Drosophila melanogaster: one gene and its partners. The protein of the gene in region 1 interacts with the protein of each later gene in a pairwise test. Each region holds a gene or a part of one and is shown on either strand. Other genes may lie near its edges.

Region 1 (6,553 bases):
AACAGTAGTCACTGTATTCAGGATGGTTTGGTCGTAGTTCTGGTAATCACTGGGATTCATCTTGCAACTGCCCTTGAAGTACACGTCAAAGAATACAGTCTTGACCATGGAGCCATAGGTGAGGTCATTTGTAATATACAGGACACAATTGTAGGCACATATCGCTGTTATGGTCAAGCCCATCCAGATGATGGACTGGGCCTGAAATAAAAATAACAATAAAATAAGAGGAGTTCTCAAAACGTCAGAGCCACACTGAATAAAAATGAGCACTATTTTTAATCGGTTTTTGTTTGTCATGTTTTTTTAAATTTATATTTATATTGAAAATTAATTAAATAAAATTGTTTTATCGTTTGTTCTTCGTGTTCCGTCATTAAAGAGGTTGGATGGCTTCTAGATCGTGATATTATTCATACCCAGCGAAATATCCAATTTTGTATGTACTTATTTACGTTTACGTTTTTTAGTGTCCCAATCTAGATCTTTTGTTCATTCACTTGTTTACACACGTCAATCGGCATTATCTGATATCTGTGGTGCGGCTCAGTTCTTCAGTTTGGGAGCCGTCCCGGATGAGTCAATGAGTATTATACTCGTATCATGATTAGCTCTCCGACTGTTGGAATACTGGACTATTCGATAGGGAGAGACCATCCAATCTTAGTAAGTGCGCTCAATGTCAGGTCGAACATCTCCCCATATCACTTATCGATGAGCTGGGAATGGGGTCGCGGTCGCTTGGCGGCCTAGACTGTAACATTGAATTGCCAGCGCCGACTTACCACTCCGAGAATTCCGGCCCAAGCTGCTACCGTTTTAAGGGAGCCAAAGTGCTTGATTTTTGCCGCTGGTGCTGAATACATTTTGCAGTGACTGTTCGATATATAGGGGTGGTTTCCAGATACTGGGAGATATTCTCACGCCCCGTATGCGGGACTCAAATCGATCGGGTTGAGTGCGCTTTTGCAGTACGCGACGTCTGTTGGCCAACTGAACGATCGAGCCGGACAATTGAGTTCGCCACCCGTTTACTATATTTCCCGATAAACCTTGCGATAATGGCTCTTATAACAAAAAGCCAACTGGCCAGGGGCTTTTATTTTTTATGTTTCGCTTCGATCGAGGCGGTATCCGCTCGCTTTTCGTTTCGTTCGTTAACTGAATTCTGTGGTTTGGCTGGAACGTTTATCAGGTCGTATGTTATATTATCGCTACTGATAAGAGAGCCCCCTTCCCTTCAACTTTCCTTTGGCTAAAAGATATACCTAAATCGAATAGGTAAAACTGGAATTTCGGAATCTTATCGGTCCTATGTATTAGCACATTAGTGATGTTGGCCTTTATCACTGCGTAAATGCAAGTATTTAATGCTTACCTCACAGGTTGGGTATGCCAAATATTTACGAGGAGAATATTTGTGAATTTAAAGTGGGCGGGCAAAGGCGCCCTCTACTGTCTACAAAACGCACTGTTAATTTTGACATTGCATGATAGGAATGACGCTGAGCCTTTTTTCAAGACAAAATGTGCTAATTATTTACCTTTTACAAATACAAGCACAACAAGTAAGTATTTATTTGTATTTAACCACTCAGCAATCGCAATAAGAAAAATAAATGCTTTATTATTTCAAGTAAATAATTACGTTATCGTAATGAACGGCAACGCTGTGAGATTTTCTCTGTCTGACCATGGTTGACCTCCCAGGCAGCCGCCATTTCCGTGGCGTGCGAGTGAAACGACTAGCCCATGTTTTCCCGCCGTGCCAGGGCAGCGAGCATGCTAAAGAGCGAGACGACCATACGCGTCCGTCGAGAACTGCTACAGCACATACGCATTTTTAACCCTAAAAAATACAGCACCGAGTCTTTAGTACAGTCAAAGTGACGCCGCGACAACTCAGAACGAAACCGAAAATTAAAAACGGAAGAGATTGTTGTTCCTGGTGTCCAAAAAAGATAGATTGTTTCGTTCGAGTGGCTCATCCGTACCCGATCGATACATAAATCCCAGCAAGCTGCCAAACCGGAGTGCAGAAGTGTAGTTTGTCGTAATCGCCGATTAATATTGAAAGGTAGCGGCTTGCAGTTGCGCGTGTAGCGCCCGCACAAACCGAATAACACCATCACTACGGCGTGCTCACCTGAATCCAAAACGCCACGAAATGAACAACCAACTGAATCCGGCCACCTACCGCAAGTTTAACAATCTGCTCAGTAGCGGAGCGGTCACTGTGACCGGTCCCAGCCAGCCGCGAATCCTCAAGTCGACGCGTATGGTGGTACCCGGTGGTGGCGGAGGAGGAGGTGCCTCTGCCGGAGGAGCCTCAGCCGTTGGCGGCGTAGCACAGCAGCAGGCGGTCAACGATGCAGAGTCGGGTGGCGTGGGTATCGGCGGATTAGCCACGCGATGCTATATCTGCGATGACCGCTGCGAGCCACAGACTTCGCTAACCGATATGTGCACCACGCACACTTCCACCAAATTCCCCAACAAACTGGCCCAGCTCGTGGGCGAGGGTTTCCTCGTGATTGTTTGCGGCGAGGATTACGTGTGCTCACGCTGTACCAACCTGGTGAACTACTACGACCGCCTGGAAAACGATGTGGAGCGCGTCAAGACGAACCTCATCAGTTTGCTTAACAAGAAGTATGCCATTAACGAGGATATGGGCCAGGAAGGCAGTCCGCCGCTCAAGATGCAGAAAATGGTCGGCGGATCCGCCAATCGCTCGTTGGAGGAGAGTCCTAGTGCGGATTTGCTGCGTCCACGTAAACTCCTGCAGGGAAACCCAGGTAAGTACATAAATACAGAAATTATAAAGCTTTCCTAATGCATATTCTGCAATCGTACAGTTGGCCAGTCCAAGATCGCCCCAGGAACCACCCAGAGCAGCGTCCAAGGCACCCAGACAGTCCAACGCAAGGCCACCAAGATTTATAAATGCACCTCGTGTGACTATAAAACCTCGGATATGCGGCTGTTCAACACGCATTATGAAACCTGCAAGCAGCAGACCTTCCAGTGCAAGACCTGCCGCAAAATCTTCCCGCACTTTGGGGCCATGAAGCAGCACATGGTGCGCGACCACAATACCGCCATGGATAACACGTGTGCCATGTGTCACATTAACTTCGTGAACGAGAACAGCCTGCGCAAGCACATGGAGACGAATCACGCTACCAATGTACTGGTGACCAGCACCACCACCATACCGGCATCAGCTGCTCCCGTGGCTGCTGCTGCAGCTGCCGCTGCAGCTGCTGCCAACGAGAATCTGGTTGGAACATCGCTATACACATGCAATCATTGCCAGTTCAAGTCAACGGACAAGGTCGTTTTTGATGAGCATATGCGCAAGCATGCCGCTGGTAAACCTAAGCCTTTTAAGTGCCGCCTGTGCTCTCAGCGCTTTGAGACGCGCGAAGCTGCTACTGTGCATGCCAAACAGCATCAGACCAACTTCTTCAAGTGCGGCACTTGTTCGATGACCTTCCCGAAACGGGAGATGCTTGTTAAGCACTTCGAAGTGCATCAGAGTCCTTCCGCATCGACGGTATCGCCCAAGCAGTCAGTTAGCCAGAACCTGAACACCCAGAAGCTCCTTCAAGAGACCATTGATGAGGCACTGAGCGATAGCCTGCCTGCTTCGACAGCTGCTGTGGTGGCAACCACCGAGTCGGAGAACAACATACGCTTCTTCTCGTGCAGCATTTGCTCACTGACTTTCATCCAGGAGACATACTACAACCACCACATGGAGACCCACAGACGTGACAAGAAGGCAACTTCGGCCGGAGCCACTGCCCTAAATTCGGCAGCTACGGCTTTACTAAGCGATGAGCCCGGAGAGGCAACTGGTAAGGCCGGTGACGAGAGCGGCGAGCAAAACGCAGAGGCCGACATTGAGAGCCTGTTTGAAAAGCTCCACTCCGACAAGAACGAGAGCGGTGAGGCGCCCAAACCGGGAAGCAAAGGCGGCGAGATGGTTATTACCTCGCAGGAGGGCAGTGGAGGCATAACCTTCAACATTACTATCCCGCAACCGGACGGAGACCAATCGCAAAAGGATTCGCCCAATACCACAGCACCTGTCTCTGTTAGCATTGACATGCCAAATTTGGATCAAGCCGAAGACGAATCACAGTCCCAGGGCAGCATCGATGCCAAGGGCGAAAGCGGCGAGGCCTCCTCTGCCGATAGCAAATCCAATGCCGCACCGGTTTCCATGCCCAGTTTAGATGATGACAACGAGGCTGCAGCTGCTGAAGCTGAGGCCTCAGAGGAAACCAAGACGGCTAGCAAAGCAGGTCAAGAGAAAGCCAAGGCCAAGGCTGGAGAAAGCGCCAAGTCAAAGGAAGCCGCCGCTGCTGAGGAACCACAACCATCTGACGAAGGAGACGTAGTTGCTAAGCGTGAGGCTACAGATACGCCCACAACTGAGTCGGAGGCCAATGCCACGACCGCTGAAGCCGGTGAATCTGGCGAAGGCGAGGTTACTGCCAGTACTGGAGCCGAGGGCGAGGCGGGTGAAGCTGCAGGTGGCGAGCATGTTGCCATGGAACTTGACGAAGCCATGCAGGCACAGGTGGAAGGTGGCCAGATCAAGTTCATTGTTAACGAGAACGGCCATCTCCTCCAGCTGGACAACCACATCCTGACGGACGCCGAAGGCAACCAAATAATTGTGCAAGATCCCGAGCAAATACAGCAGCTGCTCCAAAGTGTAGGAGTTCTGCAGTCCGGCGAGGGACTTGAGGGCGAAACCCTCCAGATGATGACCGATGGCAGTGGCCAGATGGTACTTGTCCATGGTGACAACAATGAACAGCAGCTTATCGATGCCTCCCTGTTGAACTCCGAGGGGCAGTTAATTATCCAGCAGGGACAGGATGGTGAGGAAGGCGCTCATGTCATTAGCGAGGATGGTACCCGCATCCCAGTGTCCGTGTCGTACACGGAAGATGGCCAGCCCATCGTCCAGGTTCAGCAACAGGTCCTGGAGGCCGCACAGCAGGCAGCCAGCGCTTCCGGAGGTGCAGATGACAAGGAGGCGGCTGCCGACTCGGCCGGCGAGGAAGTGCAAGTGTCGGAGGCATCTAGTGGCACGGCATCCACCACCGTTGTTGCCACGAGCACGGCCAGCAGCACTGGTGGCCCCTCCGGCGGCAGCTTTTTTGCCCTGGAGGAGTTTACGGAGACAAAGACCGACTAGGATTGGCCCTAGGGGCGTGGTCATGACCACTATACCATACTGGCATGCGAAGAGGACTGGTAAGTTAAAGGAATCACCAGCGTGAACTGGGATATTCATACTTTTTCGTTTGTTTTAGGTTTTAGCTGTGGGCACGCTCAAGATCTCTGGAGGACTTTTGCACACCCCAATTTGAAACCCACTCCCTGACACCCACAACCGAACCAACTTTACAGACAACTGAACACGAAGACAGAAAAATACACACACGAACCTTTTCAATATATATTTACATTTAGTATATGTATTAAACACTCCAGTAAACTAAAAGAAAGATTTCTTATTACCCAAGCAAAGGAAAAAAACTAATTCAATAAATCAAATTGTTCATTCGGTCCGTTTCGCACTAGGCTGCCAGGGATCTCAAGCCAGATCTCTTTGGTTGCCTCTTAAATATCGTATCTAGGTTTAGTAATAGTATAGACAAAACTGCAAGATGAAAGCGACAAAAAATGTATAAACATAGAGTTTATGTGAGAAACTTGGAATATAATAAATGTATGTATTTACAAGATAACTCAACAATTACACTAAATAAATCGATTTAAACACAAACATTTGATGAAAATTAAGTTCCGAAATCGGCACAAATCAATTCAGAAATAGTGATGCTTCCTAACACCTAGTGATCCCCGTAAAATGTAAGGATAGGTGAACAATCCCGCTTTCCACTTCCATAAACTCCAGATTCACACCCAAAACAAACAAACACAGGCCGCAAACACGCCCAAATATATGCATGCACGTATATATGTCAAGCAACTTGAAATATATAATTGTAAAGAAACGAACATCGGTTTCAAGTTCCTTTATACTCTGTGAGCGATCTTTGGAATTTGGTATGCATGTAAATCAATTCAGATAAGTTAATTAAACGCGCTGATGGCAACTGTGTTCCAATGAATACAGATGACACAGAAGGCAGTCCCAAAGTTTACATATTGTCAGTATGGATCCAACCATTCATTTCTCAAGTCAGTAAGTTCGTTGACCTTTAAAATGGATTAGTCGGTTATGAATGATATTTTCGAAGTATGCATACCAGCGAAACTTTCGACTCGTTCTTAATTGCCCAACACCTGTTGGCGGCGGATGAGGTCGACTATATTTAAATGTTCAGGTAGTTGATTAATAAGATTTAATACTAAGTTGGATACTAAACTGCCAGCGGTGGCATTAAAGCATTTGGACTGTCATGAAGGCCTTATGAATGCCCCGTTCCGATCCATAAATCAGTGAATGTTGTGATTCTGAAAACAGCAACCGGATTGGCACGTGGATGCGGTTTTGGAGGAA
Region 2 (3,991 bases), on another chromosome or scaffold:
GTTGAGTGCACCTTTACATAGAGCACAGATTAAGCATACGACGTGTTGTGCAGTTATCAACGCGATGCCAACGATTCCTAACGGAACACCGTGCGTCGTCCCATGGCGGAGGTCTGTTCCCTCAAACGCTCCACCTTGGTCTTCGGTAATTTATGATTCGCAGCGCACGGCCCGCAAATGATCTATTGCCCATTGCAGTTATCCAAGCGGAGTAGGTGGAGCAGGGAGCAGCCGAGGACTTTGGATCGGCACTTGTTGCATCAGCATCGGGCGACCATAACAGCCACAAGTGATTTCTTTCGCATCGATGCCTCCAGGCGCTGCTGACAGTTACAAAGTGCGCCCACTAGTTGGCGGTCAGGTTAAAATGACCCAAACTAAAAGCCAAAGCGAAGCCGAGCCACAATGCATATACGCGTTGTCGACGCCATCTCCCTAGCTTTGATTAATGGACTTTTCGTGTTGGCTTCGATTCTGGCCACGGCGTCATAAATAAACTCTAAAAATGCAACAACAGGCAAAAGGTGGAGCACGTCTGTGCGGCGCATATTTATCATTGGTAAACTTTATTCTTAACATTTACATACAACGCGTTAAAATTACTTGTCCAATTGTTTTTCACTTTAGATATTACAATTTTATGCCTATTTCATATATATGGATATCGTAGATGAAGTGCTTGAAAAGTTGAAAATAACTGTTTACACAATAGAATTCTATGTCAATTTTAAACTAGTCAATTTAAATCTGGCTACTATAAGTTACAGTTTTGTGTGTGTTCCGGCGGAGCGCAGGACTTGGAGAGCTAGAAAACGTTCGAGTGCCAAAGAGCACATTCGTAAAAGACCTATACAATTCGAGCTGACTTGACTCGTTCCATTGCTTTTGCTAATGCTGATCCTTTCGCCGTGGCTTCTGCTGGTGCTGGAGTTTTTGCCGACTGCTTAGACCCACTGATCTCGCCCTGCCGCTTGGGACACTATAAGGACGGCGGATCGTACTGGAAGCCCGGGTTGTTGAACTTGAAGCGCGCAATCTCAAATTGCAGTGTCTCGAATTTGATGTCGGCCAGTCGCTTCAGCTGGTGCGCGATCTGCTGGGCATCGCTGCTGCTCAGCGCGCTTGTCAGCGAACTGGGTTCCCGCTCCAGCTTTGTACTGTGCAGCGGCGGCACGGCCTGCATGTTTGAAATGCAACGCGGCGCATTTTTAACTGAAAGATATGGAAAAACGTGATGTTAACTGCTTAAACTTAAGCAAAGTAAAACGGCATAGTTACCTTCGTAGATAATTTGCTCCCTGGGCTGTGTGCGCATCCGCTTGACGGGCAGCTCGCCGTTGATCAGCTTATTGCCGGAGGAGGCTGTGCCCGGATTGATGACGGGGGCAGCAGGCCTGCGGGATGTGACGTACTCGACGGCGTGCGGCTGCACCGTTTGGGGATCCTCCTCGACATGCTCGAAGGATGTGTTGTCCACGACGATGGTGCGATAGGTGCCGCCACCCGTATTGACCGCCGTTGTGGACGCGGTGATGCCGGTCTCCGCCAGATTCTCCTCCATCATGTCCTCGTGATCGACATGCTCCTCCACCATCTCCTCCTCGTCCACCTCATCGTTGATTGCCTCTTCAACGGCTGCCTGAAGTTCCTTTTGAAATGCCACCGAAGTACGCTGGCCCAGTTCCTCCATCTCGTCGTCGTGCTCATCCTTTTCGGACTTCAGATTGAGCATCGTTTCGCCGCCGGTGGTGGGCACCTTGCCAAAGAGATCGAGAGCGCGCGTCTCCACGGAGGTCATCGAGATGTCCTTTTCCGTGGACAGAAGGCTGCGTCTGTACTTGCAGCGAGTGGTGTTCTTCCAATCGTTTAGGCGCTGTATGTGGAGCAGGAAATTCGCGATTAGAGGTAACATTATTTGGGTGATGTAGTGGTACTCGTACCTTGCGCCACTCCTCCGGCGTCAGTGTGGGTCCGGAGCTGCACTTGTTTAGCCGGTCGGAGAGCTCCTTCCACTTTTTGGTCAAGTAGTTCAGGTCATAGTCGCGCGGCACTCGTCCGGTGGCGAAAATGGGGTCGCTCTCCATCATGTCGATGTACATTTGGTACTGCTCCGATGAGGTGCGTTTCTTGCGGCGGTCCATCTTGCCGTTCATCCGGGTATCCTTGCTCTGTGCCTGCGTGCTCGATGCCGTGTTTAAATAGCTGGCAAAAGCCCTAAAATGCAAATCGACGCCACCAAGCGATGCGAGATGTTCACAAACAATTTACGCATTTAGCGTTTGGGATTTTCTAGTTGCATTTTGTTGCTGTTGGCGCAGGGTTGCATTCGGCACGCCAGTGGTGCGCATCTGGCGGGAAGCCAAAAAAGCAATTAGATGCCATGCGATAGTTATGGCTAGATGTGCAATAAATAATTCAATTTTGTTGCAATAAAAACATGCGGATTCAGAAATGATTTGTCACAATATTTATTAGCGGTTTCATATAAATCAATAATACATTTCAAAATATATGTGCAAAAAGTATTTCGTCGAACGATATGCATAACAACAGTCTTAAAAACGACTAATTGGTATATGGTACACACTACTCAAGAATTTGTTTTCAACGAATGCCTACTGTACTACTTATTGAGCGTTCCGCGGCTTTTAATTCGAGGCGAAATCAGCAGGTCCCTCTGAGCTCACATATTATATTACATTATACATTATATCAATGTGCATGGCTAGCATGGGCTATAATTCCGGAACGTACTCGAATCCGGGATTATTGTACTTGAAGCGGGCTATCTTAAAGTGCAGCGATGCCTCGTGTATGTCCGAAATGCGTTTCAGCTGCTCCTGGATTTTCTCTCCATAGAAGGCAGACGGTTCTTTCGCGGCAGATTGATCAGATGTGACATCCGCGACTGAAATCAAGGCTATGTCCCTTTATAGGATATTTAGTATTTACATTAGATTTGCGTCTACCCACCTTCGTAGATAATCTCACTGGAACCATCGAGCCTTAGCTTTTTCGCGGCACTGTGACCATTGATGATCGTTGGGTTGGCTTGCTCGTGAGGCTCTGCTATGAACTGCTGGTACTGCACCTCCTCCTCCTCCTCCTCATCCACCAACTCCTCCAGGTTCTCATTCTCTTCTTCATCCAGTTCCTCTTGCTCCTCCATCAGTTCGTGCAGGCGCATCGAAATTCCCTCGCGAAAATTCGGTTCTAAGGAGAAGATCTGCAGGGCTCTGTTCTCCAGAGGAGTCATTGCATTGCTCTTGTCATCCGAGTTGATGCTGCGTCGGTATTTGGAGCGCGTGCTGTTCTTCCAGTCGTTGAGGCGCTATAAGCATGACACACTGTGGGCTTGTACACTCGATACCCAACTGGTTACAACATACCTTTCGCCATTCCTCGGGCGACAAAGTGGGACCCGTGGAGCACTTGTTTAGCAGATCGCTGAGCTCCTTCCACTTCTTGCCGTCCTGGGTGCGACTCAGTTTGTTGGCCGACATCGGGGGATTCTCCTCCATGAAGTCTAGGTATACTTCGTATTGGTAGTACGACGTCCGCTTGTTGCGTCGATTCATTTTGGGGATCCAAATTATGACCAACAATTGAAAACAAACAAATTGAAACAGACGCCACAAAAAGGCAATAAAGCAACGAGCTATCGATAACACAAACAATTAAGGCTCCGAAATTAAATACCAAAACCGAAATACCAAACTATTTTAGAAAATATCAAAATAATTGTTTGGTTCTCCTAGGTTCGAAAAGAAGTTTCTTGGAATTTGTAATTTACCCGCGCCACAATCTCACAAGATTGTGTAATACATCTAAAAATATTTATTTTTCTCAAAATATCACATTTCAATTTATAAAATAAATTGGTCTAGTTCTTTAAGCATTTTTTGTGTATTTCGTAATTTTTGTAACAAAGCTAGTCCTGCTTTTTCAATCAAGTTCAATCAGAGGGTAGAACAGCTAGTAGAACCGCTGA
Region 3 (4,869 bases), on another chromosome or scaffold:
ATCAGCATAATTTACGTGCCGATGCCCGCCCCGCCGAGAGTCACGTTTCCACCTCACGCTCCTTATCACATGTCGACGAGCACGGGGAACACTGTAGGAAATCAAAAGTGGGGAGTACTGTCAAAGTGCCACAAAATGCATATACATATGTAAATAAGAAACTCAAAGCTGCAAATCAAACAAGCAACGCGATTCGGATTAATTCCAATGCCTAAATTATAGCCAGCAATGTAATGTAGCAATATTGAGAGAATATCATATTATCCTAACTATAGATATAAACATAAAATTCTAATTTCAGCTTTATTATGCTTCCCATAAGTAAACATTGACCTTCTTAATATACAATAACTGTCAAATTATCATTACAAGATAATTCAGAAGACAAATATTTTGTTTTCTGGGATCGCGGATTATCAAGTTGGCGGGTTCATTTAGCGCGTGTTGCCTGTGCTTCCAAATGAGCAGCGCTTATCTCGTTTACCTCTTGATCATCGCTTATCAGCGGGGCCCTGAACGCCCCCATAAAGGCACGACACACACACATACATACACAAGTGGCACGCACACGGACATGCACACATTTCGAGTAATTCAATTATTTTGTGTATTATTTTCAATGTGCAACAAAAGCGACAATAAAATAACAAGCCAGCGGCAATATACAGCCAGCAGCCGACTTATCACCGCGCCGTCGCTGTTGTTGCAATGCTTGTTGCTGCTGATGTTGTCGTCGATTTCAAACTGCTGGCACTGACTGGCACTGGCACACAGCTATGGCAATTATTCTGTGTTCGCTTCAGTCGCCCCGCCCGTTGATTTTGATAGAGCCAGAGCCCCGAGACTTCCGCTGGTCGCGGGAAGCGGAGGGAAGCGAGGCGGGGTCGGAAAACCGCGGGGTCGGCTGCTGGAAAAATCCAAGGAAAGTTCGGCGAAAGTCGTTGCCTATCAATGATGGGCGGTCTCAAGGGCTGTACATACATACAAACATACATATATTTTGATAGCTTACAATATACAAATGTACATATGCGAATTACACAAAATGTCATTTACATTTTACGCCCATTTTACTTCCCATTTGCATGCTCCTCTTAAAGGATTTTGACATATAACTTTATGATTGAACTAAGCTAAGAACTAGAATGGTATGTAATATTTTCCTTGGGTTCTAACAAAAGTCGCAGGAATAGAACTTCCTGCTCACGTCCAAGCAAACCAATCTCAGCGTTTTTAAGACAAATATGCATTATAAATTCATCAATCCTTCATTATTTATTTATTTAAGATAATATAACCGAGGCCATCGACTATGTACCTATATACTAATATACATCATTTGATTGAACTAAGATTAAAATTTTCGTAGACTGAAAGGGTATACTAGATTCGTTGAAATGTACATATACATATGTAAGTTAAAGAAGGGTGGAACCGTCAGCTGGACGTCGGCGGTAAACAGCGGACACGGCGGGATACATCGGAGTTTAAAATTCAACAGAAAGAAAATAATTATAAAACGTATAAAAAATGACTAACAAAACCCGGATTTGAAATTCAATACGATATTTTAAATATAGTGCCCGATTTCCGATAATTGAATGTTGGAGTTGTCATCTTGACCGATAAGCCGATAAGTGGAACACTTGGGGTGCTGCCAGATGGTTAGATATAGTTTAAACTAATTTATATCAAACATAGACTTGTAAGGTTAAGATTACAAGGTTATTGGCTTGTAAAGTATTCTTGCTTTCTTGTATAATAAGTTATCAATTTTAAAAAATTCGAAATCATTGTCGTTAAGTTTTGTGGGAGCTCGCCCTTTGCAACATCTGGCAACTTTGCCGTCATATGTTTGACAGTTTGACATGCACACAGTTTTGGAGTAGCTCAAAATATTTTCGCTATCGTTTTTTTTTAATAATTTCGTGTGTGAAACGGTGATATTATTGATTTTTGTTGCATTTTATGCATCGTCCAGCTGAAGCACATCGAAATCCGCCAAGGGACTCCACGGCTTGCGCACAGGGAGGCAGTGAAAAAGTTTTGTTTACCTTTTTTCGATATCCCAGAGTTCTGCGATTTCGGTGTCGCTGTGTGCGTGTGCGAGCGCCCATGTCACCTGTGTGTGTGTGCGTGCGAGCTGGTGTGCAAAAATGAAAATGCATTCTCAATAAAGCGAAATAAATGTGCCAACCGCTAAGAGAGTAGTGCATTCTAAAATTGGTTGTTAAAGCTGTGCACATGGAAAATGTGCCCGATATTTCCACCAGCGCTTCGTCCTCTTCTACTTCTAATTCAACTTCCACACTGAAACTCCAAAGTAAGTTAGCCCCAACTCCCCCTACCCCTATCACCCATCCCTCTTCTACATGCATATATGTAAGTTATATCTGTGCTGTAGCCCACGTATCTCCCGATTTTCGACCTGATAGTCGTGCTCTCCTCGATATTGGTTTTCCAATTAGTTTTTGTTTTGTTGTGTTTCGCTTTGCGTTGCGTTTTGTTTTCACGTTGTTGGGGGTTTCTTTGGGCCATTAACCCATTGGTGGCCGCTGTGCCATATTACGCCTTTCCTGTCAATACTGAAATCTCTTTAGTATTACGCCCATCTACGGTATTGCAAAGCTGGTTTAAAGATGGGAGAGTCTAATTGGAAATTCCTATGGACGCAATCAGCTGTTATCTGGATTCTTTAAACATAAATATGGCAACTCTGCTCGTAAAAACCGATTGGCGGGCTTCGAATTTTAGAAGTGTTAATAACACACTCTTAGTTGGTCATAAATTCATGAGTATAGATAAGATAAATGGAAACATTTCTTTTCCAAACACAAAACTAGTGACCTAAATGTTTATAAACAATGATTGTTTAAAAGATTGGAAAGTGGTCACAAAAAAATCCAAGACGTTCACCACTTTATTTAAATAATAAATATTTATGTCTAGACCCAGAGTAATAATCAGTTGCAGACTGATAAAGCCTATCAAAGTTCTTGTTCTTGTGGTTTGTTCATCTTTGATTTGTCCTCTTTCTTAACCCTTTGTCGGCTATCTATGTGCAGAATCTATTGACATATTTATCGAACTCTTTCCCCAGCTGGCAAATCTAACGCTTTTTGATTTATGCTTCTAATAAAAATTCAATAGACTTGCAATTTGTCCAGCTACCCAGAAACTTTTGTTTCCCCCCCAGTTTCCCAGCTAAGCAAGTGGAGTAAAGCACGTGGAGTACAACAGTGGGATTATATAGCACGATTTTTTTTTTTCAAAATCCTGTAATCAAACAAAATTTAAAGAAAAGAATTAAAAACAAAAAATATTTCAATTAAATTGATATTTCCTATTATAGGAATATTTGGTTTTAACAGCATTTATACATGAGAAAAACCCTTAAAAATAAATACGAATTAAAAGCAAATTAATTTTAAAATAATTACAACAAAATCATTTTCCATTCAAAATTCCGTTTTTATCTTCTGGTTTTCATTATTATATATATGTTGTATATTTTTTTTTTTACTTAAACTAACAATTGTCGTGCCCACTGTCCACATCGTTGCACATCAAAAGCCGCGACGAACGCAAAAATATGCGAAGCTTCAGCCAAGAGTGTTTTATGTGTTACGCGGCTGCCTGATCCCCGAGTGCCCCGAATCCTGGGATCTGCGTGCTGTTGTGGCTGGTCTGCCATACATTACAATGAAGTATGTGCGCTCGAATGGATGGCCAGCCAACAGCCAGTGGCCCCACCTATTCTATTCCGATCCTGGTCCAATTCAGGCGGTTTATTTTGCCTGGCGGCAGGCGACCTTTTTGCACAGACACTCCAAGGAAGGCGAAGGGGGCGCAGACACTTGTCCACTTGGGGTCAGATGGTCGCATGTGGCGCTTTCCCCTGCCCGCTTTTCTGCTTTTCCGCTTTTCCCCAAAGCACAGCCGACTGAAGGCGGCGTCAACGGCTAATTATGACCCGCACGTTTTTGCGAAAACAAACACACATGGTTTTTGGGGGTGTGGAAATACCCAGGAAAGGGTGCTGGATGCCGGCGGCGGGGGGAGGCGGGAAAAGCAGGGGAGCCGGACAAGTGTTTAGGCTACATTTCGAAATGTTTCCGGCGCGCACTTTACGTTCCGTGTCGCCTTCAGCCTTGAGAGTCTATATTTGGCAACGCATGCCAGGGCAGAGACCCCCATTTGCCTACACCCGTGAACCTACCCCATTACTTTCTCCTCCTTTCTTGGCTGAAAACTCGCTGTTTGTTTGTTGCACTTTTATTGCGTTTTGTGCTGGGGCTCGTCGGCTAAGTAGTCCTTCGTCCCTGCCATAAACATGTCGTCTTTCGCTTGATTTAGCGTTTGGCTACCGCCCATCCTCCCCATTTGTTGGCCAACAAAATAGAGTGTCCGAGCCACTGACCGCTCTAGGCATACGTCGCGTATACGTAATGCTCGACGTCCCTTTCAGTTCATTTTTACGGACCCTGGGAAAGTGCAACAATGGCAGCCACGCCTCCTGCCTCCCCTGTCACATGCGCTTCTAATGCAAGGCTTTCCAAATTCGATCAAGATGGAGTCATAAATCTTGCGCCGCTTATGAAGTTTCCATTGAATTTGCATACAATGGGGCTGTCCGTTTTTTGGGGCCACTCGAAATTGCTCAATTCGAGAAATCGAGAACAAAATGTTACAGGAGCACTTACACCAAAAATGAAACCAACACGCTGTTTAGATAACTTACAAATAAATAAATAAGATCTACTCTTTTTATACATCCAGACGTTCTAGGATGTACATTTTTAATTTTGTTGTTTTACCTGGATAAATACCTTTTATATATTGTATGTACATTGAATTGATTATTTAAGA
Region 4 (4,601 bases), 6.5 Mb from region 1:
AAAACTAGCCAATGGAAAAAATAGTCCAGTAACGCTTATACAATTTGTTTACAAAAACCAGTTATACAATGTATTCCAAAATTTTACATAGTAATTCTATTCCTACCACTTATGTTTTGTATCCCACTGTGCTTGGTTTGCACTCATTCCTCCACCTCTGCCGAGTCACCCACCACCAACACCCCCCAGCGCGCACGCTCTCCCTCATTCTCACATCATGCTCCGTTGGTTGGTATTGCCAGCTACGAAACATGAAACATGCTCACTGCTTTAACGCCGATTGGAACTTTAAAGGGGCATTTCGAACGGCATTTCTCATGGCCCCTTCCCTGCCCAGCAGCATCATAACAGAGAAAATTGTAATCTTAAAAATTTGGACACTCGCTCACTTTATATTACTTTCTTCTCTGAGCGTTGGCTAGAAGTGCCACTCTCCTTCTCCTTCAATTCCAAATTCGACTAACTTCCCTATCGCGGGGTCTCTCCGCTCTTAAGCTGGACTTGATCTGCATACGAGAATGAGACTGGCTATATGTTTTTACCCCGTAGGGTCTCGGTCTCTGAGATGTGTCAAAAGTAACAGGTGATTGGATTGGATTCGAAAGGAGAGAGGAGAGTTAGAGACAGGGGAAAGAGAATGTAGAGCGTAAGAGCGAACCGGCTTTTCTACCATTTGTTATTATTACTTTCACAGGATCTGTTAATATTTCGGAACCGAAGAGAAACCCAGTCCCGATACATGTCTATTTTAATCTAAACCTATCAGATTCTTTTGATTCCTGTGTAACCCTCAGTAGCATTACACTTGTTCCCAGAAAAATGGAATCTGGTATCTTAAAAAGAAAACTGAAAGTAATTTATTCTGAACCCAATACCCTTCTAGATTTTGGTGATCAAACATAATAAATTGTTAGATTAGGGACTCGTTCTACGAAAATCTGCTTATCGATTTAATCATAGCTAATGTTGGAATTTATTTTTAATACAATTGCTCGATACCTTAGCTAGAATAATTCAAAAACGTTCTGAATTGTTTATCCTTCATTTTTAAACTGTAAAATTTGAGCTTATTCAGAGTGGAGTAGTATAAGAAAATGTTGAATATTTTGATACCGGATCCGATAGTTATAGAACCGGAACCTACGGATCCCGTTGACCTTTTTCTTATCGCACTCTGATATTCCAACCGGTCGGACACATGTGTTTTTCATCCGTGAAGTCGGCCCAGAATATTTCCATCATTCAATATTTACCACCTTTTATAGTTTTGTTTACTATCTTGCCGACTTTTTTGTCTTGCCGTCTTGCTCTCCTCTCCATCCTAAAAATACTCTTCCTGCGCTCCATCTGGCAATGCCGCTCGACAACTGTACTTCAAAGAGCGTTGCCAGGCAGGTCACTTCTCTCATAGATACACAGATACAGGCGCGCACGCACACCAGCACGCAAAATAACCACCACCAGCAGTACAGAAATTACACATTTTCTCCCCGAGTAGAGAACTGAAAAACTGGCCGCGCTGGCAGCGCCGGAGCAGCGAAATTCGATCGAAACCATTTACTCAGTCTCAGTTCGAGTTATCCAACGTTGGCGAGCGGACAAACAAGCAGGAGAAAAAAGCGTACGGGCAAGAGAAAGAGAAGGCACAAAATCACCCACAGCCACTGAAATTTTCTTTTGCGCTCCGGTGAGAAGATAATTTCACAAACCAAAACCGAACCAACAAACAAAAAAAGTGCGCTCCGTGAGCGGGAAAACAATAACAAAATCAAGAGACATGCGATTATAAAACGAACAAAATAACTGAGTGACAAAAAAAAATTAAATGCGTGTCTCATGGCTTGACTGTACTGTGTATTAAAAAATGTGATTGTGTCGGCTGTCCGTCTGTCTGAGTTTGTGCGCGTGTGTGTGCTGTTGGCGTTTTTAAATGTGGCGCGCTATTTTTGTGTGATTTTTGTGGGCAGCAACGAATTTTGAAACATCAATTGTATACTAGTTGTCAGTCCCCTTGTGAAAAAGTCTTCTCCAACAACAAAATTCCTGTGAGCAGCCTACACACATGCGTTGTCTCGCTCTCGCGCGCTCTGGCCCCCAAAGAGTGCGAGAGCGGGAGAGTGAGACCGAGAAAGAGAGAGAGAGAGAGAGAGCTAATAACTAACGTCTGTACTCTTTTTCTTTTCCATTTTTCATTTCAGTTTCGAGAAAGCAGCGCGCCAAGCAGCAAGAAGAGGAAGAGCAAAGGGAGTTGGAAAAGCAGTGGCGTCGTGGAGGAGGAGTAGAAAGGGGATTTTTGCGAAAAATCCCAACTTGAAGAGAATTTTCCCCGTAACCGTTAAACATTAAATCGTCGTGTTGGAGACAAATAGCAGCGAATACGCTAGCAACGCTGGGGAGGAACAACAATTGTTGGATTTGGACGCGACCGCTTTGATGTCGCTGCCAATGAATTCGCTGTATTCGCTCACCTGGGGCGATTACGGCACCAGCCTCGTATCGGCAATCCAATTGTTGCGCTGCCATGGCGACCTCGTCGATTGCACGTTGGCCGCCGGCGGGCGGAGTTTTCCCGCCCACAAGATAGTCCTGTGCGCCGCCTCCCCCTTTCTGCTGGACTTGCTAAAGGTAAGTGCTCGGTTCGGAAACACTGCCTAAAACACCTTTCAATAAGAGAGCTTGTACATAACCTCAAACGTTTCGTACAGTTTGTAAACAGAGAAATCCAATCGCAGAAATAGGTTAATGTTTGGAGCGCAGAGAAACTGACACTCGCACGCAAATGCATACATATGTATAAATAACGCAGATTTACGCTCCGCTCCAAAAGTTGTCTAGAGATTTTTGTACAAGTTTTCCACTGTCAATTGAGTTGAATGAGTGGCTCCGCCCCCCGCATTCCCGCCGTCTATCTTGCTTATCAGCTTTTTCTTGTTGCAAAGTTCACCGGAGAACGAGAGAGTGAGACGTAGAGACAGAGCGCAGACAGAGAGGGAGAGAGCGAGAGAACCAGTTGGTTCGGTCGACAGAAAAGTGGTTTTGGGCCCGGTGGTGTAACAGAGAGGGGAGAGCCGAAAGCTGGTGCGCCAACTTTTAAATCGCATGTGTTAGAGCGAGCGCAAACGAGAGCGCCAAAAGCAGCGCGGCAACTGTTGTAGTTGTTGGATGGTTGGAGCTTTCGTCTTGCCTTTTGGTTCTTGCTGTTGTTGGGTGCACACGAGCGCGACCTCTTTCTTCACAGACAGAACTGTACAGTTGGCTCTGGCTAGGGGGAACTTGAAATATTGGGGGGAATATGGATACATATACAAAGATAATTAAAATTAAATTTGTATTGATTGGTTTGATTTCCTTAACCCATTTCCTAAGCTAAGTCTTTTGTATTTTGTATGTCACCATTTTAGATTGCTAGATTGATTGTCTAACAGCAAACTTCGCTCAATTAAAAGTTCCTGGACTTTAATAGACTTATCTACTTCAAATCTTTATTTAAACTTATAACATAGTGACCAAGTCCAGATTGTACCAAAGATAAGCAAGCCTGTCTGGTGCGCTTCCCTCGTATCGAATCCAACCCGTATTTCTATAAACTAAAGCATTTCATATTAGGAAGGCGCACTTTTAAATGGAGCTTGCAAGTTTTTTCATGAGCTGTATTGCGATACTGTACTTTTTAACAACTCATTTGCACTTTAACTTTGACGCTTTTCCGCCACTCTGTCGATTGTTCAAAGTGTGCGCTTAAGTATGAAAGTTGGACCGTCTTCAATGCGTGGCCCTATCGTAATGGAAATACTGACCAAAACAGAGCGCGGCCAGCGAAATGAAAACACCTGATGCGACGCCGACAGCGGCTACTCTGCGCTTCGCTCCCCCTTATTCTCAGCGCTCCTCATCTCTCCTCTCCTTTTCTGGGCCGTGAAAAAGTAAACAGAGCGAAATTTTTGAAAACGCCGCTCAGAGCCGTCGTGGGGAAATGTCAAAGAAAAAAAAAAAAAAACAAAAAGAACGGGACCAATGCGGCTGTGAACTCTGCAAGAGTCCGAAAAGTACAAGATGTACTGATCTCGTTACACTCACACACGCACGCAAAAACACATGGCGGTCGCTCTTTGTTGCTCTTGCTCCCTCTCCCTTGCTCCTACGGCAAATGGAATGCAACTCTGAAAAATCGATGAGCGAGACTTTGGTTGGAGGCAGAGTTCAAAGAGCGCAAATGGGAGTGCGGTGAGATGTGTCATTTCAAGAGATTGGCATTGGATGAAGGGAGGGTGTTGGTTGGTGAGTCCGTAAATGGAGAGGGGTTGTTTTCTGAGCAATGCTATATAATTAAATGTTTGGAGCGGGAGCGGGAGCGGGAGAGGACACAGAAGAAGAACAGCTAAGCGCTCTTTCTTTAAGCGCTGCTCTGTTTTCTTTTTCAGCATCTGAAATCTCAAAATCCTGCTGCAGAATGTGCAGAGCGCGCAAAAGTAAAAGCCGGTTGTCTTTTGTCTGTGTCACTGTGTGCGTGAGCGGAGGAGAGTGTGAGCGACGCGTCGCACCGCGAGTTTCCATTATTTCCATCTCCGTCCGACTGTTTTTGTTATTGTTTTTATTTGGAT

What was found.
Region 2: the proteins of pzg (region 1) and prod interact in a two-hybrid assay, tested with the Drosophila melanogaster proteins (one study listed by BioGRID).
Region 3: the proteins of pzg (region 1) and Camta interact in a two-hybrid assay, tested with the Drosophila melanogaster proteins (one study listed by BioGRID).
Region 4: the proteins of pzg (region 1) and Trl interact in a two-hybrid assay, tested with the Drosophila melanogaster proteins (2 studies listed by BioGRID).

The regions. Positions count from the first base shown.
Region 1 is NT_037436.4:21,284,270-21,290,822, forward strand, and holds pzg (putzig), read left to right. Parts: upstream 1-1,829; 5' UTR 1,830-2,167; coding exon 2,168-2,798; intron 2,799-2,858; coding exon 2,859-5,218; 3' UTR 5,219-5,277; intron 5,278-5,336; 3' UTR 5,337-6,041; downstream 6,042-6,553. Other genes in the region: CG12974 (uncharacterized protein), read right to left, coding at 1-201, 786-866.
Region 2 is NT_033778.4:18,968,856-18,972,846, forward strand, and holds prod (proliferation disrupter), read right to left. Parts: upstream 2,279-3,991; 5' UTR 2,154-2,278; coding exon 1,941-2,153; intron 1,874-1,940; coding exon 1,279-1,873; intron 1,213-1,278; coding exon 980-1,212; 3' UTR 549-979; downstream 1-548. Other genes in the region: CG15107 (uncharacterized protein), read right to left, coding at 2,736-2,920, 2,974-3,331, 3,390-3,578.
Region 3 is NT_033778.4:9,444,189-9,449,057, forward strand, and holds the start of Camta (Calmodulin-binding transcription activator), read left to right. Parts: upstream 1-1,857; 5' UTR 1,858-2,244; coding exon 2,245-2,323; intron 2,324-4,869. Other genes in the region: ced-6, read right to left, coding at 485-495.
Region 4 is NT_037436.4:14,754,928-14,759,528, reverse strand, and holds the start of Trl (Trithorax-like), read left to right. Parts: upstream 1-1,566; 5' UTR 1,567-1,687; exon of another isoform or gene 1,688-2,045; intron 2,046-2,192; exon of another isoform or gene 2,193-2,198; 5' UTR 2,199-2,433; coding exon 2,434-2,625; intron 2,626-4,601. UniProt on the Drosophila melanogaster protein: Transcriptional activator that functions by regulating chromatin structure. Overcomes the repressive effects of chromatin by promoting the open chromatin conformation in promoter gene regions, thereby allowing access to other transcription factors.